Nothobranchius furzeri: one gene and its partners. The protein of the gene in region 1 interacts with the protein of each later gene in a pairwise test. Links are inferred from orthologs where the notes say so. Each region holds a gene or a part of one and is shown on either strand. Other genes may lie near its edges. The genes, in order: plekhf2, cAMP-dependent protein kinase type I-alpha regulatory subunit, setbp1, frmd8, rabac1, hspb7 and ube2z.

The links.
Region 2: the proteins of plekhf2 (region 1) and cAMP-dependent protein kinase type I-alpha regulatory subunit interact in binary tests that used the Homo sapiens proteins (3 or more experiments, as listed by UniProt). The two-hybrid records come from large-scale screens. The link is inferred for Nothobranchius furzeri from reciprocal best matches to the Homo sapiens genes PLEKHF2 and PRKAR1A.
Region 3: the proteins of plekhf2 (region 1) and setbp1 interact in binary tests that used the Homo sapiens proteins (3 or more experiments, as listed by UniProt). The two-hybrid records come from large-scale screens. The link is inferred for Nothobranchius furzeri from reciprocal best matches to the Homo sapiens genes PLEKHF2 and SETBP1.
Region 4: the proteins of plekhf2 (region 1) and frmd8 interact in binary tests that used the Homo sapiens proteins (3 or more experiments, as listed by UniProt). The two-hybrid records come from large-scale screens. The link is inferred for Nothobranchius furzeri from reciprocal best matches to the Homo sapiens genes PLEKHF2 and FRMD8.
Region 5: the proteins of plekhf2 (region 1) and rabac1 interact in binary tests that used the Homo sapiens proteins (3 or more experiments, as listed by UniProt). The two-hybrid records come from large-scale screens. The link is inferred for Nothobranchius furzeri from reciprocal best matches to the Homo sapiens genes PLEKHF2 and RABAC1.
Region 6: the proteins of plekhf2 (region 1) and hspb7 interact in binary tests that used the Homo sapiens proteins (3 or more experiments, as listed by UniProt). The two-hybrid records come from large-scale screens. The link is inferred for Nothobranchius furzeri from reciprocal best matches to the Homo sapiens genes PLEKHF2 and HSPB7.
Region 7: the proteins of plekhf2 (region 1) and ube2z interact in binary tests that used the Homo sapiens proteins (3 or more experiments, as listed by UniProt). The two-hybrid records come from large-scale screens. The link is inferred for Nothobranchius furzeri from reciprocal best matches to the Homo sapiens genes PLEKHF2 and UBE2Z.

Annotation. Positions count from the first base shown.
Region 1 is NC_091745.1:67,586,914-67,591,226, reverse strand, and holds the start of plekhf2 (pleckstrin homology domain-containing family F member 2), read left to right. Parts: upstream 1-1,313; 5' UTR 1,314-1,959; exon of another isoform or gene 1,960-1,976; intron 1,977-4,313. UniProt on the Homo sapiens protein: May play a role in early endosome fusion upstream of RAB5, hence regulating receptor trafficking and fluid-phase transport. Enhances cellular sensitivity to TNF-induced apoptosis.
Region 2 is NC_091756.1:28,744,891-28,748,738, reverse strand, and holds part of cAMP-dependent protein kinase type I-alpha regulatory subunit, read left to right. Parts: intron 1-2,145; coding exon 2,146-2,316; intron 2,317-2,407; coding exon 2,408-2,499; intron 2,500-2,604; coding exon 2,605-2,666; intron 2,667-2,752; coding exon 2,753-2,799; intron 2,800-2,884; coding exon 2,885-3,043; intron 3,044-3,115; coding exon 3,116-3,176; intron 3,177-3,372; coding exon 3,373-3,494; intron 3,495-3,848. UniProt on the Homo sapiens protein: Regulatory subunit of the cAMP-dependent protein kinases involved in cAMP signaling in cells.
Region 3 is NC_091757.1:44,685,014-44,688,861, forward strand, and holds part of setbp1 (SET-binding protein), read left to right. Parts: intron 1-1,911; coding exon 1,912-2,333; intron 2,334-2,443; coding exon 2,444-3,848.
Region 4 is NC_091750.1:53,401,220-53,405,732, reverse strand, and holds the start of frmd8 (FERM domain-containing protein 8), read right to left. Parts: upstream 3,126-4,513; 5' UTR 2,986-3,125; intron 2,304-2,985; 5' UTR 2,297-2,303; coding exon 2,206-2,296; intron 2,059-2,205; coding exon 1,891-2,058; intron 1,784-1,890; coding exon 1,682-1,783; intron 506-1,681; coding exon 447-505; intron 335-446; coding exon 168-334; intron 1-167. UniProt on the Homo sapiens protein: Promotes the cell surface stability of iRhom1/RHBDF1 and iRhom2/RHBDF2 and prevents their degradation via the endolysosomal pathway. By acting on iRhoms, involved in ADAM17-mediated shedding of TNF, amphiregulin/AREG, HBEGF and TGFA from the cell surface.
Region 5 is NC_091745.1:74,795,119-74,799,514, reverse strand, and holds rabac1 (prenylated Rab acceptor protein 1), read left to right. Parts: upstream 1-1,445; 5' UTR 1,446-1,580; intron 1,581-2,571; 5' UTR 2,572-2,585; coding exon 2,586-2,707; intron 2,708-2,784; coding exon 2,785-2,997; intron 2,998-3,140; coding exon 3,141-3,238; intron 3,239-3,445; coding exon 3,446-3,547; intron 3,548-3,666; coding exon 3,667-3,755; 3' UTR 3,756-4,302; downstream 4,303-4,396. UniProt on the Homo sapiens protein: General Rab protein regulator required for vesicle formation from the Golgi complex. May control vesicle docking and fusion by mediating the action of Rab GTPases to the SNARE complexes.
Region 6 is NC_091755.1:36,028,376-36,031,858, forward strand, and holds the end of hspb7 (heat shock protein beta-7), read left to right. Parts: intron 1-2,258; coding exon 2,259-2,383; intron 2,384-2,489; coding exon 2,490-2,669; 3' UTR 2,670-2,920; downstream 2,921-3,483.
Region 7 is NC_091758.1:15,254,541-15,259,158, forward strand, and holds the start of ube2z (ubiquitin-conjugating enzyme E2 Z), read left to right. Parts: upstream 1-1,557; 5' UTR 1,558-1,785; coding exon 1,786-2,219; intron 2,220-4,618. UniProt on the Homo sapiens protein: Catalyzes the covalent attachment of ubiquitin to other proteins. Specific substrate for UBA6, not charged with ubiquitin by UBE1. May be involved in apoptosis regulation.

The DNA of each region.
Region 1 (4,313 bases):
TCAACCTGTCATTAAGTAAATCTGGAAAAAAATTTAAATAAATTGCTAGAAACCTTTAAAAAAGGTCAGAATGAAAAGTGTACACATCAGCTGAAGCCAACACTAACTAGTTTCTTATTTTAAATAAAAGTTTAATTGCATAGAAATAAGTATTTAAATAAAAATATTGGTATTTTTTATTTGATACCAGCAACATGCAGGTGAATTTACTTAGTTTTTACATAAAGAGGAGATTTGCACTCCTCCATGAGGCATTTTTCAGTTAACCGGAGGTGAACCAAAGGCCACATGTTTAGTCATCAGTAGAGGGTGGTTGTAAATGATGGAAACAGCTTTTTAGCAGAGGGGAAATGGAAAACAGTGCAAGGTGATGTATAAAATGACAAACAGGTTTATAATAAACTTTGGAGCAAATAATCACTTCCAAAAATTGGGATATTCTAATTTTAGCTAATGTTCCACAACAAGTAATCCGTTTGGTGTGTGGTACATTTGGATGAACCCAACATAGAAGAAAAGCAGCGTTAGGTCAAAGAAATAGAATTTTACTTGTGATGAAAGAAATATTAAACAAAGGAGTTGTTGTGGTGTAAAACCAAACCAAAACAGAGCATGTATATTTGGTTTAGAGAGTGAATGACTTCCTTTTTTCTCCTTTGGGTAATTAAATAAATTGTTATCACCCTTCACCAAACTCTCTGACATTCCAGCAGTGTGGAAATATTCTCGGACTCATTCATTTGAAGTGTTGGGATATTTGACCAACCCTGTAAGGTCACAGTGGTTTTCTAATACACGATTAGTGTTGCTCTAAGCATCGTGGCATAATCTAATCTCCTCCGGTGTCTCGGTGCAGATTTAAGAGCTTTGATGATGCAAGTGAATAATCACATTGACTCTCTTTGGGTGTTTGGATGAACTGATAAGAGCACCGTCTTCCAGTTTTAGGAAGCAAACAGACTCAGATCTAGTTTGTGGTGAATGATCCAACTGTAAATGTGCTCTACACGCTTTAAAATAGTTCCCAAAAACTAATGAATCCAGAAGCAGATTTGGCCTGTAAAAGTATAAAATAAATAAAAAATAATAATGCAATGTATGTTCAACTTATGTTGTGTATTGTATTGATGAATTTGATACTTGCAGACCATCTCTGCTGATAAAAACTGAGATTTAAATCCAGGAATTTAAAATGATGGGGTTAAAACAACAGCATGTGTTATGAACTAGAGTTGGGTGCTAAACAACTAATGAGTGCAAATGTTTTCAGTTTTTAAAGGGGAAAGCCAAAATCTAGTAGTGTTTCCCTAAAAGTTTGAATTAAATGAATTTTGAATGTTTGGATGCAGATGAGCAGCGTCCTAGCTTAAGGGTAGAGTTTTTGCTGCCACAGGCATTAAGAGGGGGAAAGTAAATTATGGGGAGTTTATTCCCATTCCTGTTGTTTGTGGACACTATGGAAACCGTTGTGCTTTATTTTCTTCATTTTTTTGTTAAGGTGTCAGTGCATTTTTCCTACAAAGCCACAACATGTACCATCTTGTTTACTATTTTGAACCCCAGGCAGGTCTCCTCCCAAAAACTTGGCTTCTGTTCTTGCTCATGATGCCTTCACTGTCCCTTGGAATAATCAAAAAAACGAACTACTTCACTACACGACTTGGAAGAAGGAAAAGATTATTTTTCTTTCGAAATAGGTCAAAAATATGACTTCCCAAATAAAAGTACAGCAATGATTTGCTTCTCAGAACAGACAGCTTCACTTCGGATTTACCAGCCATTAGATTGCCCTTGAACGCATCTTCTTAACGCTGCCATGTTGTTGTTTTATCCACGGAGTTTCCAGCTGCTGTCGGTGTCTGCGGACACAGTGGTCAGTTCTCGAGGCAGACTTACTACTTTACCGATATCACCTGGAATACAGCAGAACTTTAGATCTATTGCAGAAGCTATTTCACAGTGAGTGCTACCGTCGGGTATGTAGTTCTTTGGGTTTATAAGTTGACTGATGATACTTTAACTCTTTGGCTAAAGCTGGTTCCGTGGGTTTCAGCTACTTTTTCCTCATTCATGTTAATAGCCTGTAAAAGCCCGCGTTGTGTGGGTGCTTTTCTTTTCCTTTCTCCTAAATGTTTATCGATTATCGAAACTGGGAACCGCTTTTTCACTCAAAACCGAACAAAAAAGAGTGAAGATTAGCTTTAAAGTAAAATGTATGAAGTGCTTGGAAGCTAACGTCTGAGCTAGCTAGCTAAGTCTGCCAACGGGCACCACTTTCTTTTGCCAACTTGGACAAAAAGTTGAAAAGTAAATTGAACTTTGAGACGTGAGGCATTGATAATAAGACTTTAACTTGTTTGTGGAATAATTACGTTCAATAATTGGTGGAAGTGCTGGACAGACTGGAAACACTTGAACAGTTTAGGTGGAAATACTTGGGCAGAAACTACTAACTTCAATGTGTCTTGGCTAATGGTAACAAATGGAAACTGAACTATTCGGGCAGTTGGGAGTCCACCTTATCGCAACACAGTTGTGGACGTGTGTACTCGAGTTTTCTACCACAAAAAAGGGAAGTTTGATATGTCTTCATTGTGTCTAAGTGCATAAAATCTCCATTAGCTTCAGATGACTGAGGGCATAATAAAGCAACATTTATTTACACATATTCTGTCCCCGTGGTATTGAGTTTATTATCTGTTTACAGCAACACACATTTTAGGTTAGAGCAATACTATTTAAATCATTAACACTGTCTCAAAGAAGAGTGAAACATTAAACATAAAATGTAAAAAAATAAAATAAAAATAAAACTTATTTGATATCTATTGCACACAACATTGTTTTAGATTGAAATAGTTCATTTGTTTTTGTATTTTCCCCTTAATTTTTCTAAGTTTGCATTTCTTTAAAGTATGTGTCTATTAAAAATTGTAGCATTTTTCTTATTTATATATTTTCTTATAGAATTTTCTACTTCTCTTTCAAATTCAGTTTCTTTTTTAAGTTTCTGTGACTTCACATTATTGCAAAGATTATTATGAAACCAGGTGAGACAAGCTGTCGTTCAGTCATAGATGAAAACACAACATTGCAAAATATTTACACCCGCACCAGTGTCAGAGGGGGACAAGCTTAACTTTCTATTTTTTAAGGATCTAAAGTAGTAAAATTAGAGCCCTATGAAATCCATTTCATTTTCTTCCCTAGTTGAGATTTTCTTTTTTTTTTATTCAACTTTTTTTTTACATGGTAACAAATGATTAGATAATAAAAAAAATTAACAAGATTTTCTGGGGAAAACAAGCTTTTAAAATAGATGACAGTTTTTCTAGTGAGAGTTGCTTTTTGTTTCTAAAAATGGGTTGCAGTGCCTAAATCTGGTGACAGAATGTCATTCTTACTTCATCCTTACATATTGCACCTTTGGTAACAGCAAGCATTAATAACATGCCGCTGTAATTTCTGCTAAATTATATATAAATAGTAAAATGAAATCAGTGATTTTTGTTACCAGTAGTAGTCAAGACCCCCACCACCAAAGAGGAGTTCAAGCAGAAGATGCAAAAAAACAAACAGACAAAAAAAACATCAATAAATGTACTCAAACTTTAAAACTTCAATGCTTGTATTAAAGCCAATTTATTTTCAGGCTGTATTTTTAATGTTTGTTTGCATTCTAGCTTTACAAATGAAGGCAGTGGTCTTTCAGGATGTGGCATGTTACTCTACAGCTAGCATAGCCTCTGTTGCAATGTGTTGCATTTTAAATGACACAGTTTTAAATGTGATCCTCTTCATTTGCGTAATGAGGTAGGAATGCCCACAGTTATGTTTAAAACATTCTCAGGAATCTTAAGCCTGCCGCACACGAGAGCAATCTGCAGAGCAAACGGCCTCGAATGACCGTTGGCTCAGCAGATTGCTCGCCGTGTGCACCTGATTTTCACTGAGTTTTCCACCTCACAAGAAGCTGAGACGAATATCTGACCATTCAGATATTTTCCGCCTCACGGGGGGTAGAAACTCACCGTGTGCGCACTACTGAGCTGCCGGCTGAGCTGAACTATTCTAGTGGCCAATCGAAGCGCCTTCTCTGATCACATGATTCCAAGATGGCAGCCCCCTGTCTGCATGTCAGAAAATAAGCAAAACGGAGACAGAGCTGGAAACGGAGGAAATGCCTCTACCTTTTTTGTTGACGAAGCGCCGCCACCGGCATTTCAAGGTTAGGAAAGTTATGGGTACGGTGGCTGGAAATAAGGGCCAGGCGAAGAGTTTGTGCCAATTTACTCCCAAGAGATGCGACTGAA
Region 2 (3,848 bases), on another chromosome or scaffold:
TTTAGAGTGCCCAGGTAGCACATAAAAAATGCAATTGAACGGTTTTCTTAAAGTAGGAACGTTTAACCTGTGCGGCCAGAGCGCTCTCCTTCCTTCTGTTCTGCGTAAACCTGAGCTGATCACCTGCTTGTGCGTAATCAAATGTCAATAGGGGACAAGATATAGCCATGATGTTCACTTTTACCTCAGACCGACTTATTGCTGTTTTATGGTGTGGCTGAATCTGTGATCCGCTGCCACGCTGACTGGAATAACACATGCTGCAGTAACAGGAGTTGTGGTCAGGTTCATGAGGAGTCACTGGCTGTAGCGGACCCGACTCATCCCAGAAGCTAATATCTTAATTTGACCTTGAATGAAAAATAACCTCTTAAAAGTTTTTATCGTGGTGGAGGCAGCGTTCATTTCTGCCTTCAGTCTGACGGCGCGCCGGAGTTAAAGCAGCGTGCGCGCTTATTGAATCTGTGTGTGTGTGTGCGCGCACGCACGCGTGGCACAGCCGCTCAAGTCACCGCGTCTCGTTATTGTCGCTATTAAAACTTCTGCCCAGCCCAGATGTGCTCACATGTGCACCCGTGAGCCGTGACTGGAACGCGTCTGATCTCTGACAGACGCACTCTGAACTTCAGATCTTCAGCGCGCTGTTAATAGCCTGAATGGGAATCATTTCTTGTTATTTTGTTACATCCACAATGTTCTGTGTGTGAGGTTTACAATGTCAGAACACCTGCATGAGACAGGGTGTTAATTACAATCTGCCAGAATGACTCACCACCTTCAGATTCCTCCAACACCGTTAAAAATGATCAAATACGGAACATATCGGCGTGCGCAGGCCAGAGTGCTGAAGCTCGGTGCATTGTTATTATGAAGCTAGGGCACATGTGGAGGACACGCGCGCAAAAATATACTTGTTTTCAATTACATTTATTGGGCCCACTTACTTTTTCTTTGGCCCACCCACAAATGAGTTTCTACAATAATGGTGACATATGACAGACTTCTCTGAGCTCCGCAGCCATTACACTTTTCACCTCGCGCACCCCCTAGCGGCAGCTCGCGCACCCGCACCACACTTTGGGAATCCCTGCTCTAGATGGTGCTCTCCAAAAAAAAACAAACAAACAGATTTTTACTTAAACTAATAAAAAATATACAACCATATAAAATCAAATTGTCAGTTCAACCCATTTAACATTTTTATTTTGAATAAATTTAGGGATGTCCCGTTCTGATATCGAAAGTAATTCAATATTGACCCAAAAACATTGTATTGTGAATTATATCGGACGGCAACAAAAATCTCCGATATAAGCGGTCCGTTAAGGTTCACATTTTAGCAACCAATAGTTTTTCCCATTTTTCCATACTTACTGTTATTGGCTTTTGTTCTCCGATTGAGTAATGTCACTTGATCAGAAGTGAAAAAGTTGAATCGGGACATCACTAAATAAATGATCTGGTGTAGTATTTGTGATGTCATCAATACAAAACAGAAATGGCTGTAAATGTTAGGTTTAACAGAAAATGTCCTAACTCTAAAATCAGTAAACCACAGCTCTTCTATTCGTTTTTTTCTCCTACAGATGTGCATGCATACGGGTTTTTGTATTTTTTGGATGGTACGGCTCCCATTAACCTGAAAAGGCTTACCTCATGGCTCGGCCACTTTGGTCATCAGAGGATCATCGTCGGCTAGCAGAGCCTACACACTCAGGACAATCCAGACTCTTTTCATGTGTCGTTCCGCAGGTGTGGAAGGACATACCATGCACGACTAGAACAGGGGCTTCCTTGTCAACTTTCAAGAAACTCCAGCTCTTCAGAGAGCATCTTCTAGACTAGGACCCACCCTGCACCCATCCCCCACTCTACAGTTCACTCCTTGTTCACTTCCCTTTATGATTCATTATGCTGCCTCTCTGCCACCACGGGTGACTGATTAGTGTTTTGTTGTTAGCCTCAAGGGCAGCCTGCTGGCTTCATTATCACTTGTAAGTTGCTATGAACCAAAGCAGCTGCTAAATACATAAACATATTTAGAAATGATGTTTGAGTGACATCTGAACCCTTGGAGGTTTATTCCACATCGGTGGCTGATGGGGCTGCATCCTGGAACACTAGTCTTCTCTTTGACTCCTGCAGGAGGAGGCCAAGCAGATCCAGAGCCAGCAGAAAGCCAGCAGTTCCCGCTCAGACTCTCGCGATGAGGAGGTGTCTCCACCCATGAACCCCGTGGTAAAGGGTCGCCGACGAAGAGGAGCCTTCAGTGCAGAGGTGTACACAGAGGAAGATGCAGCCTCGTATGTCAGAAAGGTAGTTTAATCACTCCAGTGTGCGAACCGTATTGTAGTGATTCTGATGATATCTGATAGTAAAATCTCTTTCTTTAATTCTATAATTACAGGTCATTCCAAAAGACTACAAAACGATGGCTGCTTTGGCTAAAGCCATTGAAAAGAATGTGCTGTTCTCACACCTGGATGACAACGAGAGAAGGTACCGGGCCATAGATCGTGTTTATTTGAAGCTTTTTCAAGTGAAACGTGGATTTTAAGTTATTTGTGTTCATCGGATCAACTCACTGGTGTGTTTTATCCCCAGCGACATATTTGATGCAATGTTTCCAGTCACTTATATTGCCGGGGAAACTGTCATTCAGCAGGGTAGGAGCACATGTTTCATGTGTTATCTAAAATATTGACGATATTATGACCAGTGCGATACTAAATGTATTGTTCTATGTGTTCAGGTGATGAGGGTGACAACTTCTACGTCATCGACCAAGGAGAAATGGATGTGAGCATCTTTACTTGGTTTTCTAACATAAAGACCTTTGTTGATCCTTTTCTGAGGCATGGTTCGTACCTGTCTGATTCCACAGGTGTACGTGAACAACGAATGGGTGACCAGCATCGGCGAGGGGGGCAGCTTTGGAGAGCTGGCACTGATCTACGGCACCCCGAGGGCAGCCACCGTTAGAGCCAAGACCAATGTGAAGCTGTGGGGCATCGACAGAGACAGCTACAGGAGAATACTGATGGTGAGGGAACTTCTCGTCGACTCTGTGGATCATCTCACGGAGTTGGAGTAACACCCACCCTCTTTCTTTCAGGGAAGCACTTTGAGAAAGAGAAAGATGTACGAGGAGTTCCTCAGGAAAGTGTCCATTCTAGGTGGGTGTGTTTAGTTCTCATCAGCTGCTGTGTAGAAGTTTAAAAATAAACACGGAGTGGAGTTATTGGTGTTAGATCTGGAGTTTAAAATAACATGAAGGTGTATGTAAAAATATATCTAGACATAATCAGAGCGGGCTCAGCCTTTTGTGTTATCATGGTCTATCAGATCAACATCTGTGTTCTCCCTCCTCAGAGTCTCTTGATAAGTGGGAGCGCCTGACGGTGGCCGATGCCTTAGAACCCGTCCAGTTTGAGGATGGACAGAAGATCGTTGTGCAGGGAGAGCCAGGAGACGAGTTCTTCATAATCTTAGAGGTTCATGCACAACCCAATATACTCATGGCTGTCGGTGCATTAAAACGTTTTATTTGTGATTAATTACAATTTTTAAATGTATCATCACATGATATTTCTCATGTTTCCAATGTTTTTATAAGAAGTAGGAGCAGAGAAACCTACTTCCTTTTGGCGAACGATGACTAATGCTGTCTAGGACATTTTATAAAAAGGTTTTACGTCTAAAGGATACTGCACGCTCAAAATGCAAAAAGTTAATTCATAAGCAGCAAGTCCACCTCCCAGTGTAGCACAGGGGAACATTAGAGCTCCTCAGACTTCATCCTCCATGATGCTAATTAGCATGTAGCTTCCCTCTGTTGTGGCATCTGT
Region 3 (3,848 bases), on another chromosome or scaffold:
TGTTTTCTGGCTTTGTTAATCATTTACACTGCTCAGTGTTTGCTTGGGCCTGTTTCTGTTTCTTTTCTCTTTTTTTCATTTCGATCCACACGAGTCCTGTGCTCCTTGGCGTTTGTGTGTGTTTTTTAATTTATTTTTTGCTTTGTGAGTTTGCATCTGGCTTATTAACTGTTTCAGGGAAGTGTGAAAACAACTCGCTGAGTGATTACTGACTGCAGAAAAGACAGAAGTGACAGAAAAGTGATGTAGGCAGAGCAACACATTAGCAACGTGAAAGACAGCGGGCATGTAAATGTCTACACCAGACCTGAGAGCTTTGCAACAGTTGGGTTGTTTGTGCACGAGTCTGTAAATGTGCAGCAGCTTCACTCGTACATAACACTAGAATTTTGTGAAGCCTGTAAAATGTGTACATCAAGTGTGTGCGTGTGCACTTGTACGCCTGTGTGTACATGACCATGAGAGGCATAAGAGGCAAGCCTGTGGTTAGGTTACATCTCCCTGCTGTGCAGCAGAACAGTGTCTTGTTGCGGCATACTGAGTCTGTTAATAAGAGGCTAAACCACAGAGGCCATCCGCTGCTCTATTTCTCATCTTCCAGCAGTACTCTGATTATGCAGCAGTGATACATTAAGTGGGCTCTTCTAGTTTAGTACAGTTTATTGAGAGTTTTGCATATACGGCTATGAGGGGGAAGATATAAATCTTTTTATAAGTAAAAGGAAAACATATAATTTGTTTTGCATTTTTAGGCAAAACAAATGATATTTACAAGGCTGGTAGTCATGAAAAATAAAGACAATACATAAATAATCACAGATCTGGGGCAGAGATGTGGCTGCGTTAGGCTACTGTGAATAATATCGTGTTTTTTCCAGACGTCCCCAGATCTACCCTCCACTGATCGCACAGCATGCAACATCCTTGCCACAGGAATTTAATTGCTCTGCAAACAAGCCCTTTGTTTTGTTGCACATTGTTCATCCATGCTCAAAAGATGTATTAAAACCTTAAGTTGTGCAGTGAAAAGAGATGGAGGGCATCCTAAAGCACAACAATTTACTGATTTACTGAAAGGCTACTCCTAACTCATATATATATATTTATATGTATATGTATATACATATATATATATATATATATATATATATATATATATATATATATATACATATATATATATATATATATATATATATATATATATATATATATATATATATACATATACACATATATATATATATATATATATATATATATATATATATATATATATATATATATATATATATATATATATAGGGATGTAAGAAAATATCGATATGGCAGTATATCGTGATATTGTTTCCTGCAATATTATATCAATATTCAAAAGCCGTGTATCGACTTTTGGGCAGAATTTACATGCAAACATTTGTGTATTTTCATTTCCTTTGGTGCAATTCAAACGCCGACTTCTAGTTGGCAGCAGTGTGCAGTGGGAGTTTTGTTTCCACTATTGAAATGTAAATCTCTTTATTATGGTTCAGATACATCACGATAAACATGTTAAGTATCAGTTTGGACAGTTTATTGAAATTTTCTACAATAGATTTAGTCTAAAAAAATCGCTTCTATTGTCTGGCTGAATGTATCGCAATATATTGTGATATATTGTATCGTCTGCCCTGTATCGTGATGCATATTGTATTGCCAGAATTTCACCAATACACATCCCTATATATATATATATGTATGTATGTATGTATGTATATATATATATATATATATATATATATATATATATGTATATATATATATTTCTGATTACATTATCACATAATTGGTCTATCATTGCAAGTATTTAAAGCTGCCACACAGTCACAGTTTTTCTGTAGTAAACTCGTCTGTTTCCCTCCTGTGTTTCAGACGTACGAGCGTCAGTTCAGAATGCCAGAGCAGAAAGAAGGGGGCCTTCTACAGCTTCTGGGGGATCACACTCTGCCTAAACATCAGCTTCGCAGCACCCTCCCTCCTACAAATGCTATCTCAAACATGCCACAATCACAGCACAGCCTCACGCAAAAGTTCCAGCATGTTAATGCACAACAACACCAAGTTGTTCCGGAGTGGATTACATCTGTGGCACCTTTTTCATCCTCTGTCCATTCGGGGGAATCTAACGCAGCAGGAGGTTTGCTAGGAGCAAGCAGAAGTACTCTGCTTGATCCGACACAACCTTATCAACGGACAGCAACACAGACCCCCTCACCTCAGAGATCCATGACTCCAGAATTGCAGCTGCCAGTGGTCACAGATGCCAGTATTCTCAACCTGACATCGCTCAGCAGGTATGGCTATATTTTTTTTAATAACACAAAAATAAGAACTCCATCAGTAAGTTACAATGCATCCTTTCTTATTTATTTTGCTTAATTTCTCTGCTTATGCATATCTCTAGGGGTAAGGGCTTGCAAGAAGTAAGCGAACAGCTCTTTGGGAATATCAAGAGGAAGTATGGCAGGAAGGATTCTCAGAAGGTGCTCTGTAATCCCCACGGTACTGATGCACATTGGGGAAAGCATCCAGAGAGAGGATCAGAGAGTCCAGGTAATTCAGAAGACAGGCAGAAGTACAACCAAGAGGAGCTATCTGAACAGTTTCACTCAGAAAGAGAAGAGCGGAGAAGAGAGGAAAGAGAGCAAACAAACGCTGGAAGGAGAGGAGATGAAGAAGAGAGAGGTATGCCCCTGATCACAGAGGATGGTAAAGGAAGGAAGAGACGGAGGAGGCCTTCGTTTGACGAGTCGTTTTCTTTGGAGGAGCAACCACAGCTTCAGATTCTGGAAGCTACCCAGAAGCTTCAGACCGGAGCCCCGGAACCCAAAGTAGCACATAAGGTAGAGACTCACAAGACTGACTCTCGTCTTAAAAGTCAGGCGGACAGCAGCACTGAAAGGATCGAAAAGGCAGAGAGAGGAGATAAAGGTGATAAGAGGGATAAAGCAGAGAGGGCCGAAAAGGCAGAAAGAGGAGAAGCTGTTACAAGTGGGCCTGACCAGGAGTCAGATCAGAGTTTAAAAGGAGTGAAAAAGAATCCAGTGGGTCGTCCCAAGAGTGGTACAGATACCCTTAAACTCAGAGAGCCTGCATACAATCATATCAACAAGCTTAATCTTAGCTCCAATCTCAGACTCCCTAGCCCCAGCTATAGAGGTAGCATCAGTCCCATCCCCAGTCCTAAACCCAGGACCAACATTAGTCCAAGTCCAAGTCCTAGAGGCAGGGTTGACCTGAGTCCCAGCCCTAAAAACAATATTGTCTCTGAAGCCAAACTTAAACCAGCAAAGGTCAACGACAGATGGTCCTACCTGAAAGTTAAAAGTCATACCAGTCTGACATCACCTCAAAGAGACAAACTGGGAAGTCCTCTGGCCTTATCAGAGCCACCTTCTGCTTTCCCAATTACCCCGTCTAGCCCACTCTACACCAATAGTGACAGTCTAACGGTCCACGCTCCCATCAAGAGGAAACGAGGGCGTCCAAAGAAACAGCCACTCCTAACCGTGGAGACCATTCACGAGGGCACCTCCACCTCACCCCCAAGCCCACTGTCACAGGACACCTCTACAGGGCTAAGCCGCAGGAGAAAGACACATGGTCTAAACACGTTAGTTCAAATGGCCTCCCCAACATCCAGCGACTGTTCTAACAGCCTGAAGCTAACGCGAGGCAGAGGCCATCCTAGGTCAATAAATAAGACAAAGCTCGGGAAAATGCAAAGCATCTTAAACGAGATTCTCTCTGGATCTAGTCAGAATGGCTCTCTGGCTCTGAAGTCACCCTCAGCTCCTGTCACCTCAGCC
Region 4 (4,513 bases), on another chromosome or scaffold:
CTGCTGTAATAAACTAGACATCTCAATATCAAAACACGAGCAATCAGGCAAGAAATTTGTAGTTTTCCCCAAGTTCTGATCAAACAAATGAAGCAAACAATTTTAACTTGTTTAGAAAGAAAAAGCTACTTTTGCCTTTATCATAGAGTTTATTCCTGGTCTCTTACCTTATGGTGGTAGTGACTTGTTGGTCGTCTAGACTCGTTCCCTCTTCAAGAGCTAAAGTAAGGGCTCCAAGGGCCATCCAGTGCTCAGGGTCACAGGGATAGCGACCTGAGAGGATGTTGCTCTTGGCCTCCTCCTGCAGAAGTCTCAACACTCCTTCGTCATCGATCTGCTCAGACAACGATCAGGAAGTTTGCAAAAGAAAAAGTGAGTTTTATTTAATAAATCTAGGCCATTAGAACCTTTTTTTTCCTAAATATGTTTTGCTGAATGAAACGTACCTGCGTCTCTTTTGCTTTTGGATAAAGCACGTTGCGTCTGTACTGCAGATACGGCTCATCTGAGGAAAACAAAGAAAGCCGTCAGAGTTTGATCATCTAACTAGATATCTAAACAAGAGATTCAGCCTCCAGCCCACTCTCCTCAGGCTGAAATCCCCAGACCGTGGGTGGGATTTACTTCACGAGTACATCAGGTCACACAACTAAGTGACTCTATACTTTTAGCGTTGAGCTGTCATCGTGTCCTTTGACTAGAGAGGTCACCTTCCTCACAGAGGACGTGTGTGAGCTGGTCCAGCCTGAGTGGGGAAACCAAAACCTCTCAGAAACAAAAGTCCACCAGGATGTGTCATCATTACTAATAAACATCTGACTTCTTCTGGAAGGATTCGTTCTGTCCTCTGACTGACAACGAGCTCATTGGTCAGCATCGTTTCTGGCTTCCCATTGGCCAGGAGATGTTTGGCAGGATCATCTCCCTCAAATTCAAGACAACAGGTAATATATCACCGTGATTTACATTTCTTATGTACTGTGTACAGCGCCTTGGGCTCCCTGACAGGGTCGTGGAAGGCGCTTTACAAATCAAGCTTTGATTGATATATGCAAGAGCAGGTTTTAGGTTTTATTTTATAGTATTAGAGTCCTTTTGAGAGCAAGTTAAACACATTTAAGGAGCTTTTTCAGAGTAAAAAAAAAGAGTTTGGAGAGAAAGCAGGACAAGATCTGAGCCTAAACACAACAATCAGTGCTCCCAAATTTACGCTCCTGCTTAAAAGCAGAATATTAATCCCATAATGCATGCATTAGATGGATTAAAACAAAATAAAAGTAAATAGCATAAAATTAAAGTTTAGCATTAAGCTTATGTAGCACTGACAGTTTATAGTGATACAAATAAAATCCACTGAATAATCGAGAAACAGTCCCGAGATTTTGCACAGCAGTGAGACAGCAGAATATTGGAGTCTTTTATAAATATAGTTCGAGTTACAAGCGATGTAGACCTGAGTGAGAGAATTACCTGCAACTCTGTGTTTGACATGCCTGAGTACAATCGCAAATCACAGAGCAGTATCATGCACAGCATCTAAATTATAGGAGTCACTCTGAGTCATCTCAGCCACAATTACTTCCTAGAATGACTCAGTCATAGGAAAAACACAGAAGCATCCCATACAAACCAGCAGGACGAGAACTTTTGTGCTGCGAGACAACGAGGCTTATGTTCTCACCTTGTGAGATGTCCTCCTCTGATGCATCAGTGAAGCGATACAGCAAGTCCTGCCACTGCCTACATAACTTGTAAGGCTGATGCCTCATCTTTAGCTGCAGCTCTGCAGAACAAAGAAGGAAGCATAAAGTTTAGCGGCTTCCACTGAAGGTATGCATGTTCTCATACTTAGATAACGTAACAAATGTAACAAAAATAAGAAGTTCTTGCCGAGCAGAGGGGAACAAAGCCAAAAGGCAAAAGCATCCTGCACAGACTCAGGAATCTGCAGAGCCTCACGAACACTGTGGCCCAAGTCCTGCACGGATACGCTACCAAGCCCTTCTAGTGATAAGTGAACTGCACTGTCACCGTACAAATACACAAGCACATCTTGAGCTGTGGGAACAAAGACCAGTTAGTCAATCAACACTTGAGAATACATTTAAAACTCTTTAATAGAAATGTGCTACCATTGCAGAGAAAATAAAGAAATGTAACAGTTAAGGCGTTAATTTGGTGTTCATAAACACGTTGCACCATTACCACGAGAAAGCGTAGCAGAGGAAGCAACACTTCCCCTTTGAGAGTGATTATCCGACAAATCTGGAGGAAAGTTGCAGTCGTCGCCCTCCATCTCTTATCTGAAACACAAAATCCAAATAGATCCATCAGAATGGGTGAGAGGGTTTTATGTAGCATTGATGCATTCTACACATTTTAATACCTCAGCATGAGGTCGTACATGACTGTAAACTTTATTCTGACAGCATGATGTGTTTATGTGAGCAGCATATAACTTTAAATAAAGATCTGACTTATAGCAGCAGAACTACACATGCTACCTAATCCTTGTCTGACATGTTAGTGATGTGGCTAACTCGGTCCCGACTGGGAGCCAGCGCCACCAAGTGAATTTTAACTGGAGATACTCCTAAACTAACCCATTGTTGGTCTGATGTGGAGTAAGATTTTAGCCCCAACGACTGTTATTTAAAACATTTTAAAAACGAGTCACCGTTTTGCAGACACCGCCACCTCACAGCAGGTTAGTTTATCAGGAGGACTGTCATTGTCCCCATATGCAGAGTGACAGCACAACAACAGGGAAATATTCCCGGAAATGACCATCATCGTGTCTAAATCTAATCCTGTAAAATGGTCTGAGCCACAATACAACAAATTGGACTACTCTACATATCTGACCGCAAAAACACAGACTTATTGACAGTAAATTGTCACTCCTATGAAACAAATTTGATCACCTATCTAGCCCATTAGCTAACTTGTTTTTTAAAAAACTAAACACATCTGGTATTCACTCACCTGTAAGTAGTTCTCCCCTCGATGCTTTTACTCTGGATAGGATATTCTAATTTTGTAAATACTACTGGGTACATTAATCAATCAACGTTTTGCTCCAGAGGTTTTATTTTCTGGCTGCGGCTAGCCCGCTGCCTGAAAACTAGCTTTCCAGCAGCTAATGTGTGATGACTGAACGAGTCGGATATTTTGAACCGTTCTTCTTCGGTAGGATGAACAATACATCTGGGGAGTTCACAACCTCAAGAATCCATGGGTTTTTAATGGAAAAAAATCATATAAACTATTACAACGACGGATAGTGTAAATTTTACGTTGAGTAATACCCTTAAATTAGTCTAAAGGACTGACTATGTGAATCGAGAACCAAATGATTGAATCCCTAAAATGAGCCTAACTTCCCAAGGCGCTCCGTGGTCTCATCACGTGACATAACGTCAGCAAACTGATTGTTGTGTTTATCTTCCGCAGGTATTCGCTGATTCGACGAGAATTGACGGCACATACAACAGGTTAACGTACATAATAAAATAAAATAAAATAAAATAAAATAAAATAAAATAAAATAAAATAAAATAAAATAAAATAAAATAAAATAAAATTTAAACAAAACTAAACAAAATGAAATAAAATGTGTAGGCCTGTATTATTTAATGTTACTGAGATTGATTTATCCAGAGTAATTGTTTGAATGCTGTAAACTATTGTTTTCCTCTTTTCTTCTTATTCTGCTTCCGTACACTTTTTGAACCTCTTCTTCTCCTTCAAATTTTGAGCTATTTCAACAATTTTATATCAAAACGTTCAGCTCGTTAAGCTCTTTCCGGCTATTACTTTTGGCATTGATATCTTTAAAATTTTTCGAGTTATTAAGCTTTTTCTGCGAAAATTTTCCCATTGAAATGAATGGGATTGGTCAATTTTCAGCAAATTCCTATCACTTTTTTGACCTAAAACTCTATTGGGTTCCTTTTAACTTAGAGACTTCATTCAAAGTTTAACAAACTCATAAGACTTTCCTGTTTAACATATTAAAGAGGCATTTTTGAATATCTTTTACGGTTTTTGTAAAATCGCAGGTAGAAGTTGAAGTACGACTTGAAATTTTCAGAAAAATTCACAAAAGTTATAATGGGGAAAGATAGGAGCAGTGACCCTCCCTTGCTCCATTTCTGGCGTTGTCCCGAGAAAACCGTAGGTCAGATTGAAATGAGACACATGCTGGCTTACATCTAACGAATATACCTTCGTTTTGAGCTATAATTCATGTACTGTACTCCAAACATTGTGGTCGTACGGTTCATTTGTTTGAGAAAATTCAAATTAAAAAAATGTCTCTCCCCACTCTAAACTGAAAGTTCCGCACTCTAACTTTTGAACTTCACATCTTCTGTGAACAACTCTTTACTACCCCCAGACCGTTTGGACTACCAAAACAAATTATAACTCAAAAATTAGGAATTTATGTCAGCTTTTCAGAATGGGTTTCATTTTTTCTGTAACTGTTACAGTTCTTTCGCTACAAGCCTCA
Region 5 (4,396 bases), about 7.2 Mb from region 1:
TGCATACTCCAGATACAACTCATAAATCTTTAGAGAAAGGGCTTGAAGGACTTCCACTTACTATTTAAGGAAAACGAGGTTCTTAAAAGCAACTTTTGTCAAAAAAAAAAAAAAAAAAGAAAAGAAGAAAACTCATTTTCAAGCTATTTTGGGAGATATTAGGAAGTTAGGAAGTTTTGGGGGATGTTAACCTAATTTAGTAATTTAGCAATATTTTAACACAATTATCAATTGTTTGAATAAACGTTCTCCAGTTTGGTTTATTTGCTGTTATTTACCCTATTTTGTTGAGCATTTTTTTAAATAATCTATTAATACTGATTGTTATTGGAAATTAAACAAAAATATAAAATATAATTAGCTTTTTTGGGGAAAATGCAACTATTTACACCATATTTTCTGACATTATTTATACTTATAGTCGACTAAGTTATAATATATATGTGAGATTTTGAAAAAATATGACATAGAAATGTATTTTCCTCGGGAGTCAGGATATAAAATGTTAATGTACGTGAGCTCAGTGTGTGTGGAGCTGAACATTCCTGCCTTTTACCGTTTCAGCTTGACGCTCTCCACACACACGAACCAGTCAGCGGTGTCGTTTTTATCTTCAGGCAAAATGTGTATGAAAGCAGCTGGAGGCTCCTGAAACGACTCGTTCCTCTTGTGTTACGGTTTTACGCTTTATACGAGTTTATGTATCCTGTCACGGTTTCTGTGGAGAAAAAAACGGTCATTAAACACCCAGCCAGGACAGCTGTTGAGCTGAGTAAGCTAAAGAGCCGAATAAGCTAAAGCTAACGGAGCCAGCGTAGGCTAATATGCTGCTATGGCGCTGTGTCCCCCTTTAGTGCATTTGTAAAAAAAAACGCGTACATTTTGTTTTAGCATTGAAACGTTACTTTATTAATGACTAACAAAAACAGAACTGTCATAAACCCCAAGGTCTGAAGATTACATTTAACAACACGTAAAAACATTCCAACAGCTAAATTTGATAAGATAATTAATAGCGCCTCACCTTCTAATGTTTGTTTCCTTTCTTTCGCTGGCGGATCTAGCAACTTCCACAGTGCCGCGTGCCCAGTGACGGCAGCACCACAACACTCGTCTATCTACCAATCACAGCCTCTTTGTTTGTTACATGACGTAAGGTCACGTTTTTACCATTTCTGATCTGCAGTCAGTTTTTCGTGCTTGTGTGGTTTTGAGCAGCCACCGCAGAAAACAGGCAGCCGATCTCAGGTCGGCTTTTTCAACAGATGTGTTTTCGGCTGTTAAGAGAAAAAACTCCGTTTTTTGGATGAAGTAAAAATAATGCAAAAAAATAAATAAATAAAATAAAAAGTAATACAAATGAAAAGTTCCACCTGTGTTGTGTAACACAAAATTCGAAGTACTCTATGTAGCCAGTAGGTGGCCCTGCCTAGAGTCAGCGAAGTAGGAAGTTTTTTCTTCTTCTCCAGCAGCCACATCACTTCCGAGATCCAGAACAGCAACAAAAGACAGCTCAGGCTGTCTGGTGAAACTTCTGCCTACATTTTGGTGAATGATTTAAGGGTTTAGCATTTTGGCAGGTATGTTGTAATTTAAATTCTTATTTTAAAAACAAGTGAAAATTACGTTGACGTTAAATAAAATCCGGAAGTAGACGTAAACATTAGCTCATAAGCTAGCATTTTACATTTACATTCAGGTTTTAAATAGACTCGTCGTGAGTATAATATTTATATTTGAAATTGCTACTTCTAGACACTGTTGTTTGGTAACGAGAGTTTCTCGGTTATCCTGTTTATTTAGTGATGTGGCACTGGCCGGGCCCTGTTTCTACTTCTTCCTGTTTCTCTAACTAAGGATCGCCATTAAACTAGAAAGACATGTAATCATTAGACAGTGATTGTTTATACACTTGAGACCGTTTTAGATTATGACGTGTCAAATGTGGCGTTTTAAAATACGAAAAATCAAAAGTTAGCTCCATTGACATTTGCGATTATTGCTTTCAAAACAGCTTAAGAACCAGGGAGGTTTACTGGGAACACGAGGAATATGAAAGATAAAATAAGAAGTGTTGGGGTTAAAACATGTGTCTACAGTAGATCTGAAGGTCAATGAAAATGGTGCAGTTATAGAAACGACCATATGTCAAGTTTTCAGTCAATATATCTTTTGGAATCCGTTTTGTGTGTGTGTGTGTGTGTGTGTGTGTGTGTGTGTGTGTGTGTGTGTGTGTGTGTGTGTGTGCTAAAGTACCTTTTTTTAATTTCTCAAATTGTTTAATCTTTGGTATTTTGTCATCGATTCTAATTTAAAAAATAGGATTTAAATGTCCACTACACTACACTACACCAGTTTCAGAAATGTTTTATGCCTGAAGGATTTATAGACTAGAAATAAGGGGCTTCATAGGCAAAAAATAATAATAATAATACATCTACCAGAAAATGAGTGGAAACGCAACCAAAGTCTAAATAAGATGCTACACCGTTGCATCAAATAAAAATGAGTAAATCCAGGCTAATTGTTTTTGTAAAAGTTTAGTCCACATTCAATGTGATTCTGTTTCAGTCAACAGTCTCTAAATGTTATCTGGAGTGCCTAAAGGGGAGAACGTCATGGTGGACATGGACAGCAAAGCTGGAGATTTGTTCATCCCAGATGAGGCCCATCCAACCGGCACAGGGGGCATCGGAGTCCTCTCAAGGTGTGAACCACCATGCTTTCATATTTTTACCCTGGCTTTGGTGTGTTGATGATATTCTATTTTGTTTATTTTTATAGGCTCTGGCTTCCTAAAGGCATCTCGGCCAGCATGGCTAAGGAGTGGTTCGACAGGCGCAGGTTGTCCATCCGACCGTGGGCCAGCTTTGTAGACCAGCGCAAATTTTCAAAACCTCGCAACTTTGGAGAGTTGTGTCAGAGGGTGGTTAAAAATGTGGAAGTTTACAACAGCAACTATACCTTCATATTTCTGGGGCTCATCCTCTACTGCATGTAAGACCTAATCAAAGAGAGCTTCATTAAAACAAAAAATGTTAATTAGATCATCTGTGAGACTCTGGCTTCTAGAAAAATGTCGACAGTCTGCTTTAAATAGCTCCAGCCTGACAGCCCTGTTCATTTTTCCTGCTCCTCAGTATCAGCTCGCCCATGCTGCTGATTGCCTTAGCCGTGTATGCTGGTGCCTTCTACGCCATCCACCTTAAGTCTCTGGAGTCCAAACTGGTTGTTCTCGGTGAGTACATTTCCTACAAATCCATAATCTTTTCAAATTTACCAGATTTAGTTTTTTTTTTTTTTTAACATTCAAGGTCTATTTTTTTTTATTCTGTGTGAAACCTTTTAAATATGTCATCCATGCCTGTTCTGGATTTAACCCACGCTGCATTTAGCACCACAAACCCTATTTTTAATATTTTTCTTCATATTTCTTGTTTATCAGGCAGAGAACTGACAGTCCCACACCAGATGAGTCTGGCTGGAGCCGTTTCTCTGCCCGTTTTCTGGTTGGCAGGAGCCGGAGCCGCTGTGTTTTGGGTTCTCGGTAAGCTGAACATGATTTGTTCTTTCCTCGTAATCTTTTTCTGATGTTTCATCTTGATTAAGAACTAAAATCGTTTCTTTTTACATCCATTTTTCCTGTTCTGTGTGGTTTCCTGTCAGGAGCAACTCTGTTTGTGATCGGCTCTCATGCTGCGTTCCGAGAGTTGGAGGCGTCGGACCTGGATGAGCTCCTCATGGAGCCGGTCTAAAGAGCTGCTCCATGATCAGTCCTCGTTTTGACCCTTTGAGAATCTCCTTGAAGATTTTTTTATATCTATACATATATCCTTCTTCCTCATGTTTACCTTATGGCATTGTATTACGAATGCACCTTATGTTGCATGATAAATAACTGTTGTTACACAAATGCATAAATAATGAATTTCTTATTGCTTGAAGCACATTATTCGCCTTTATCTGCATATATTAAGCCTGCGATGCCTCTGGTTTGTGCCATGAAGCCTCTTGCTCTTTAGCGGAGCATCTGCGCTGAATTCCTAGCTGTGGGCATCCTGCAAAGTAAATTCTGACGGCACCATCCAAACTGCTGGTATCGACGCATGTCCGAAGGTCAAGTGCCATTTAGTTTTTTAATTAGTTTTGAACATTATGTGGCTTCTCTTTTTATTTATTTGATCAGCTCTGGTTCAGACATTCTGGTGGGAAAGGTCACGAAAAGCACATTTTAGAAATTCATTTGTAAATTATGCGTTCTGTGCTGAAACGTTGGAAGTGCAATAAATTCTGTTACTGTTACTTGTCTTTAGTTTTATTCTCGTAAGAGTTGGCGTGTACATGTGCACGCACGGGGCAGTCGCTGCGTCGGACTCGGTGGCCCTCGGCACATATT
Region 6 (3,483 bases), on another chromosome or scaffold:
TGATAAGCAGCCAAGAGAAAACAGTTTTTGCCATCATTTATATGGAATTTTGTGTTGTTGTTTTTTTTATAAATGTAAATATCACCACCAGCAGCAGCTGACATTCTCAAACTGCTGTGAAATACTGGAGAATGGAGCTCCAACAAGCCCTTGGCTCTTTAGTCCTGTCAGATGTAAACTCTATTTCTCAGAACTGAAGCTTTTCCGTGAGCAAGTAAAAGGATAATTTAGAGTTTTTATGGAGAAACGTGTTTTTTTTTTTACTGGTCAATCCACGCTTTTAAGCAAGCTTCTTTTTCCAACCAAGGACAATTTGATGACCTAAATAAAGACACAAAAAAGAAATTTACTGTTGATGAAAACATATTTGTTTCATTTTGAACAACAACAGAGGACAACATGACAACACAAGAAATTGACAAATGTTGCAAGAAAAATCTGGGATTAGCAATGCACGGGGAAGTGACTGAACATGAGGAAAAGATGTACTAATTACAAGACTAGATCAGTCGTGATCTCGTCCGTGGGAATCCTAAGGTGTTCCCAGGTCAGCCGAGAAATAGGGATGCAACAATACCACTTTTTTCCAAACCAATCTGAGTACTCGCTGATACCGATTACCGATGCTGATATTTCTACCACACAAAAAAATGCTATGAATTGGAATACAGGTTTTATTTTCTTCTCTGCTTTCAACAGGAAAAGACTGTAGATAAAAAGTAAAATACATTAATAGAAATCATCACAAAACTAAAATATTAGGTGAACAGAAATGACAAGTTACAGTGAAGCCACTTTCAAGCAACTGCATTGGTATCTGTTCCTGGTATCGGTTAACTTTTATCGATACCGATACTGGTATCGGTACAGATACCGATACCAGTATGTGCATCCCTACTGGGAAATATAATCCCTCCAGAGTGTTCTGGGTCTTCCCATAGATCTTCTTAAAGTTGAACATTCCTAGAAAACTTCACCAGGGAGGTATCCGGTAGGAATCTTAATCAGATGCCCGAGCCACCTCGGCTGGCTCCTCTTGATGTGGAGAAGCAGCAGATCTACTCCAAGCCCCTCACTGATGATTGAGCTTCTTACCCTATCTCTAATGGGCCATTCCCATCTGTACCTGGTCGGCCCTGCCTGGATAGCTCCAGTCGGCCCCTGCCTAGCCCGGTTGATTCCACACATCCTTGCTTAGGTATGCAAGCATGGACGTAATTTTGGGAGGGACAGGGGGGACATGTCCCCCCCACTTTTTCCAAAGTCAAGTTTTGACCCCTGCACTTTTTACCATCCAAAAACAATATTACACTATATTAAATTGACACTGGTTGAGCTCTAGGACCAAGCAGAAAACAACCATTTGTGTTGAAGCCTGTTTCCCATTAGAGCATACTGTAAAGATACCCCCCCCCCCCTCCCCTCCACTTCTAAAGTGAAAATTACGTCCATGTATGCAAGGAATGCAGTCAGAGACATTTTCAGCTTCTAGGTAATCAGCATGATAATGAATGATAATGAATTGAGCATGCCTTAAGCCCATGTGGGCTGATTCTACCCACCAATCAGAGGCTTGTTCTAATGGAAGGTGTGAATTTGCTGACTGATAAGCCTATCAAATAAAAGGCAGGCAAGCTATCCGGGCCGGGCCGACCAGGTACAGATGGGAATGGCAAGGGAGCGCCCAGACTCCCTGCGGAGAAAACTCATTACAGCAGTTTGTATCCACGATCTCATTACTTCAAAGTTCGTGATGTGAAGGTTGGGATGCAGAAGAACCCTAAATCCACAGCTTTGCCTTTTAACTCAGCTTTCTCTTCACTATGACAGACCGGTACCACTCCATCTTTCCCTCCTTTGTGAATAAGACCCTGAGATACTTAAATTCCTTCACTTGAGGCAGGACCTTGAGAGAGGCATTGTACCCTTTTCCAACCAAAGACCATGACTTTATTTGACCCCACCAAATATTTTTCTAAAAGTCAAGCTTGGTTGTCCCCAACAGATAATGTGTAAGAATACAGGGATGACTCGGCTCCTTCAACACCAAATTTTAGCTTAATATCTGTAAAGCTGTCTGAGTTATAAATGTTTTGGTGCTGTCTGAGGTCAGCTTTATCAGTTTATCTGTGGTAAATGTCAGAGAGAGAGGGATGAAACCATCCCCCACTTTGACTTTTTGGTGGGAGATAAGAATAGAAACAGAGCAGCTTTGGTCTTCTGTGATCTCACCATATCACTTCTTTTGGTGGTTTCAGGTGGAGCCGGGAACATCAAAACCCTCGATGATTCATACCAGTTTACCGTTGATGTGCAAGGCTTTTCCCCTGAGGATGTCATCGTCACCACATCCAACAACCAGATAGAAGTCCGTGCGGAAACGGTGGGCAGCATTTCTTTTGATTTGGAATGTTAACATGAAATTTAGAGGTAGACGAACAGTTAAGAACAACAACATTCAGTCATCTGCATTGTTCTTTCTGTTCAAGTTGGCCCCGGACGGTTCAGTGATGAACACTTTCACCCATAAGTGCCAACTACCCGAGGATGTGGACCCCACCTCAGTGACATCATCCCTGGGTGCTGAGGGGACTCTAACGGTCCAGGCACGAAGACAACCGGCCAAGCACGAGCTTGTACAGACCTACCGCACAGAGATCAAAATCTAGACAGAGACAGACTTTCTCACACATCACTTATTGGGGATTTAACCCCTCATTTCTGTCATTTTTATGATGTCTCTCCACTTCAGCCACTGCTAATCCACATTTCATGATGGCAACAAAGCTAGTTTAATTATATAGTAAAGGTCACACTTACATATCTCAGTCGGTTCTGTAAGGCAGTTTTACTCACATTTAATATTAAGTGTCATGAATTATTTAATGTATAATGTTAATAAATCTGCATTAAAACACAACTGAACCTTTCATTTCCCTTTTTCTTCCATTTACTATTGTAGTACAAAAACTTTGTGGTAATTTAACCTGTGAATGTAGGTAGTTCTATTTTTCTATAAGATTCAGAGTATGATTGTTGACATGTCAGTGGCCTAGTGGTGGAGTGTCTGCCCTGAAACTGAGTTCAAATCCCGGTCGGGTCACACCAAAGACTTTCAATGGGACCCAATGCCTCCCTGACACTCAATTTTAAGGGGTTGCATTGGGGGGTTAAACCACCAAATAGTTCCCGAGCGCAGCCACAGCTGCAGCTCATCGCTCCCCACGGGGATGGGTCAAATACAGAGTTTAATTTCTCCAATGTTTGATCACTGGTGGGACAGAGAAATGTTTGTGTATTTAGAAAAAAATAAGTACTTGGAGTTTATAGTCTTTGTGGGAAAATTAAAGAACTCTACACAAAAGGTTTCAAGCTGAACACAACTTGTTATTGTTTACGAAACATGTAATTTAAATCCCGACTTTCAATAAAGAAAAGCAAAAGAAATCTGCAATAAAATCTGTTGTGACCAGTAAAAGCACA
Region 7 (4,618 bases), on another chromosome or scaffold:
GCTTGACATCTGATATATATCTATATATATATATATATATATATATATATATATATATAGATATAGATATAGATAGAGAGAGAGAGAGAGAGAGAGAGAGAGAGAGAGAGAGAGAGAGAGAGAGAGAGAGAGAGAGAGACATGTGGGGGCTGGGGGGGGGGGGGGGGGCGTCGACATGGTCGGGACATAGAAGGGGGTGCGCGGCTAAATAAGTTTGGGAACCACTGGCTTAGATAGTTGATTTCATATGAGCTTTATAGACCAATTGTAGAGTCCTATAATCAGCCAGATCGCCCAATTTTAATATTTGTACCACAGCCAATAATGCATTGGTTGGAGCTCTGACTACTTAGACTAATGATTGCTAATTTTTTGTAAAATCATAAATGGATTAGTGTATGTTTATATGTAATCCACAAATTTCAGTGCAATCCAGCATATATGGGACAATCACATGATTATATAAAACATTAAGCATTATATTTCAAAGACTCATTCACTCTGTTATCTGGTTATGCTAAAATGTCCACATACATTCAAGTTTTTATTTGTCTACACACACACACACACACACACACACACACACACACACACACACACACACACACACACGCACGCACGGACACACACACACACACACACACACACAGAGGCTGCACTCGCATACCGGTAAGCTAATGCGGGCGCGCTGACACACAACACAACTTCTCCTGCTACACTTCTTCTATAGGATAACAATTTTGATTGTTTTACTAGAAAATCCTGCAAATAAAATGTTTACCTCTCATCTGGACATTTACATCACACCACAAACAAGATAGCCGAAAATGTTCGTTATGCAGAACTGCAGCGATAAAAAATATGTCATTGGTGCTCCAGTCTTAGGTTTATCATATGGATCCAAACCATTTATAAGTCTGATTTTGTCCACATTCCGGTCCCCGACATATTTCTATAACATATCCCTGTTTATTCCGCATCCTTTAGGGATTTTATAATGTTGTTTAACACTTTCTTTCACCCAAATCCACTTCTTCTCTGCGACAGTACTGTTTGTTTCACGCTTTGTTTACACTTGTCAAGCTTCCAACATGTCCGCACACATCCCATAATGCTTTGCGTAATCACGTATGATCACAGTCTGATATTCAGGGTTTTCAGCTGTAATCATCACAGTTATAAGAAATAAAGGCTGAAACATCTGGATTTGCGTGGAACGAATCTGTGTCATCGTTTCACCTTTTAGGTTGTATTACTGACACTGATGCATTTTTGCTCCAGATTCTCGTTTTTCGAGGTTCACCTGTAGGTCTAACATGAAGTAAAGCGCTTAAATTGGACGTTTACTTTGAAGTCCTGACCGGATGTTACGTCGTTACCGTAACAACAAACTTGACATGAGGAAAAAACCCTTGAAGTTGTGGTATGTTGCTCGAACGGCGCTTATGTATTGAGTTGATAGCCATTTAACATCCTGTTTCCTCAGATAACCAACGAGTTAACAACACCTTTGGTGTTCATGTCTGTAACCAGGTGGGTGCTGCGGCTCTGCTAAACACGGAACTCTCTGGAGGCCCGGGAGGAATAAATACAGTTTAGCAAATAATACGTAGCCATCATCCGCGGGAAGCCCTGCCATGCCTCCTACCTGCCTGCGTGTTCTCTGATCACAATGAGAAATGAAACACTCGGAGGTCACTTCAGACTCTATTACCAATGAGGCTAACACCTAGCGTTGCAAGGTAGGCAGCAGCGGATTTACACTAGCTTGCTAGCTCGTGAGCCATGGCGGATAGCTTTGGAGAGGAGTGTGGCAGTGGTGCCTTTGGTTTAGGCGTCACCGAACAAGGCAGTGGAACCTTTCCTCTGCCGACTTTGGCCAACTCTCTTCCCGAGGGACACTCAGCAGCAAGCGGTGTAAACGCCAGCGCCAACTCGGCCTCTCCTCCACCCGCCACCACCGCACAGAGTGGCCTAACTGCTTTGGCTCCTGTCGCGTCTGCTGTCGGCTTTGGAAACACCTTTATTACGGGGTCATCACCACCTTTTATGGCAGTGTCTCCGATTGTGCACGCGTCCTCCTCTCTGCCCACCGTGGGGCTAGGGGTGGCAGGAGGGGGCCTCTTGTCCCAGATCCACGCCACTTCCTGGGATCCGACCCTCAGCACAGACTGGGACAACGAAAAGGCTTCCCAGCAGTGCATCTTGAGGATAAAGAGGTAAATTCTGTTTTTAATCAAGCCTTAAATTATTTCTGGATCCTTTCTATCATGTGTGTTTTTTCTATATAAGATACTCATTAGCCTTTGAATGAATTGTTTCTTGTGCTGCATCGTCTCCGCTGTCTAATCTCTGATTACTCAACCTTAATTCTGTCTTTTCCTTTTAGCTCTAAATTATAAATTTATTTGGGTTCTCATGTTTGTTGTTGTTGTGACATTTCATGCTAATTGTAAAGCATATTGAATTGCCCTTTGTTTGAAATGTGCTATAAGCTACCTTGCCTTTAATTCAGCTCCAAGGCTTTCCTACTAACCGTCACTGAGGTCTGCAAAACGATTATTAGCTTAATAAGAATATTTTCTGTAGAGTTTGCCTTTGCCAAAATAAAGAAATCATTTTGGTGACTGTGTTTAAGGACCCAAAAGTCATTTCATGCTGGGGAAAACCGAAAGTGTTTAACCAAAGAAGTAAAACCAGGAAATAGAACCTGATTCTGACGTCACTCACAAGGAAACCTGGTTTATTAGTGACTAAAATGTGTTGCTGATGGGATCATGGATCTCCCCTGTGCTAAAAGATTGCATAGGTTACAATATGACTATAAATAAAATTGTAAAAGGTAAGGAAACGCGTAGCACCGACACACCTGTCATTGGATCACAACAGAAATGAAAGCAGAATGCCTTCTGCAATAATAAAAAAACGCTAGTGTAGGGCTGGACGATATAGAAAAATATTCAAATTCAAATTCAAAACTACTTTATTAATCCCAGAGGGAAATTGATTGCTGTAGTAGCTCAGAATAATAATAATAATCAAGTCATCAAAGAGTTGTTGTATATTACAATGGCTGTTGGCAGGAAGGATCTCCAGTAGCGGTCAGTGTTGCAGCCAAACTGAAGAAGCCTCTGACTGAAGACACTCTTTCATTGTCGGACAGTCTTGTGAAGAGAAAGCTCAGGGTTGTCCATCATTTTCTTGATTCTCTGGAGAATCCTTCTTTGCATTATCTCCTCCAGCGGTTCCGAAACTGCCGAAACTCTGGCTGAGTCCTTGAAAGGGCTTGGAGTTCCTCCATCTTGTTGGGCAGTGATCTCACATTGCCCATTATGATCGATGGAAGAGACTGTTTGAATTTCCTCTTTCTCCGTCTCTGTTTAGCTCCCGCTCTGCACCCACGCTTCTTGCGTTTTAGCTCATTTGGGATTTGTGGCTTCAGTTGAGGTATTATTTCAGCCTTTCCAATGTTAATCAGTTGTTCCTGATTGTAAACCAGCTTGTTGCCATGGTTACGCATCATAAAAAATGCTCAAAAATTGAGAAAACCTAAAAAATAGCAGTAAAAATCCTCCAAGCTTCACAGCACCAGAAACGGAAAAGTAAAATGTCAAAACAAATACAGATTTTCTTGAGAAACTAGAAGAAAAAATGCCCAAGAAAAGGCAAAATTTACATACAGTCAACAGAGCTACTCCAACATGCAGCCGCCCAGAGCAGCGCAGTTCGTTAAAAATGTTTTTATATTCATCAATATAGATAATTATTAAAAAATATTTAAAAAATTGTAGAAAATATATTTTATGTGCAGCCCTGGCCGTTTTATTTTTGGTATTTTCATTTTTCTCCGTCTCTTCTTGCTGCGACATCTTTAGGATTGCCACAAACAACTATTTTAATAACCGACTAATCGCCAGTTTTGTTGACGATTAGTCGACTAATCGCCAACAAAACTGGCGATTAGTCGACTAATCGGGTCGTTCATAAAAGTTTAGCTTATTGCACCAGGATGCTCTAATATACTCATCTTTAGCTTCCAGGAGAGGTGTGACCAAGTCACTGCTTTGCAAGTCACAAGTAAGTCACAAGTCTTTTCAGTCAAGTCCAAGTCGAAGTAGAGTCCAAAGTCAATGATGTGGAAGTCCAAGTCAAGTCCAAGTCCTTAACTTTGAAGTTTCAAGTCATAATCACGTCATCTGTCCAACTTCAATTTAATGACAATCATAATAAATACATTCTAGAAATAAAACTTCTTAAAGCTTCATTTATTTGCTCAAACAAGCAGAACGTGCAACTGAATTATAAACAAAGTGCTGCTGCATTTAGAGGTACAACATCAAACCCAGAACGGAGAATGATTTAGGATTTTTGTCCATGTTGTGCCACTTTTGTGCTAAAATGTCAAATATGCTCAAGTCATCAAGTGAACAAATGCAAGTCGATTCAAGTCGCAAGTCATTGGCACTCAAGTCTGAGTCGTTGTGAGTCTTAATAGATTTTATCAAGTCAAGTCAGAAGTCATTAAAATAATGACTCAAGTCTGACTTGAGTCCAAGTCATAGGACTCGAGTCTACACGTCTGGCTTCTAGTCTGAAGTGTGATCAGCTATGTGCCATC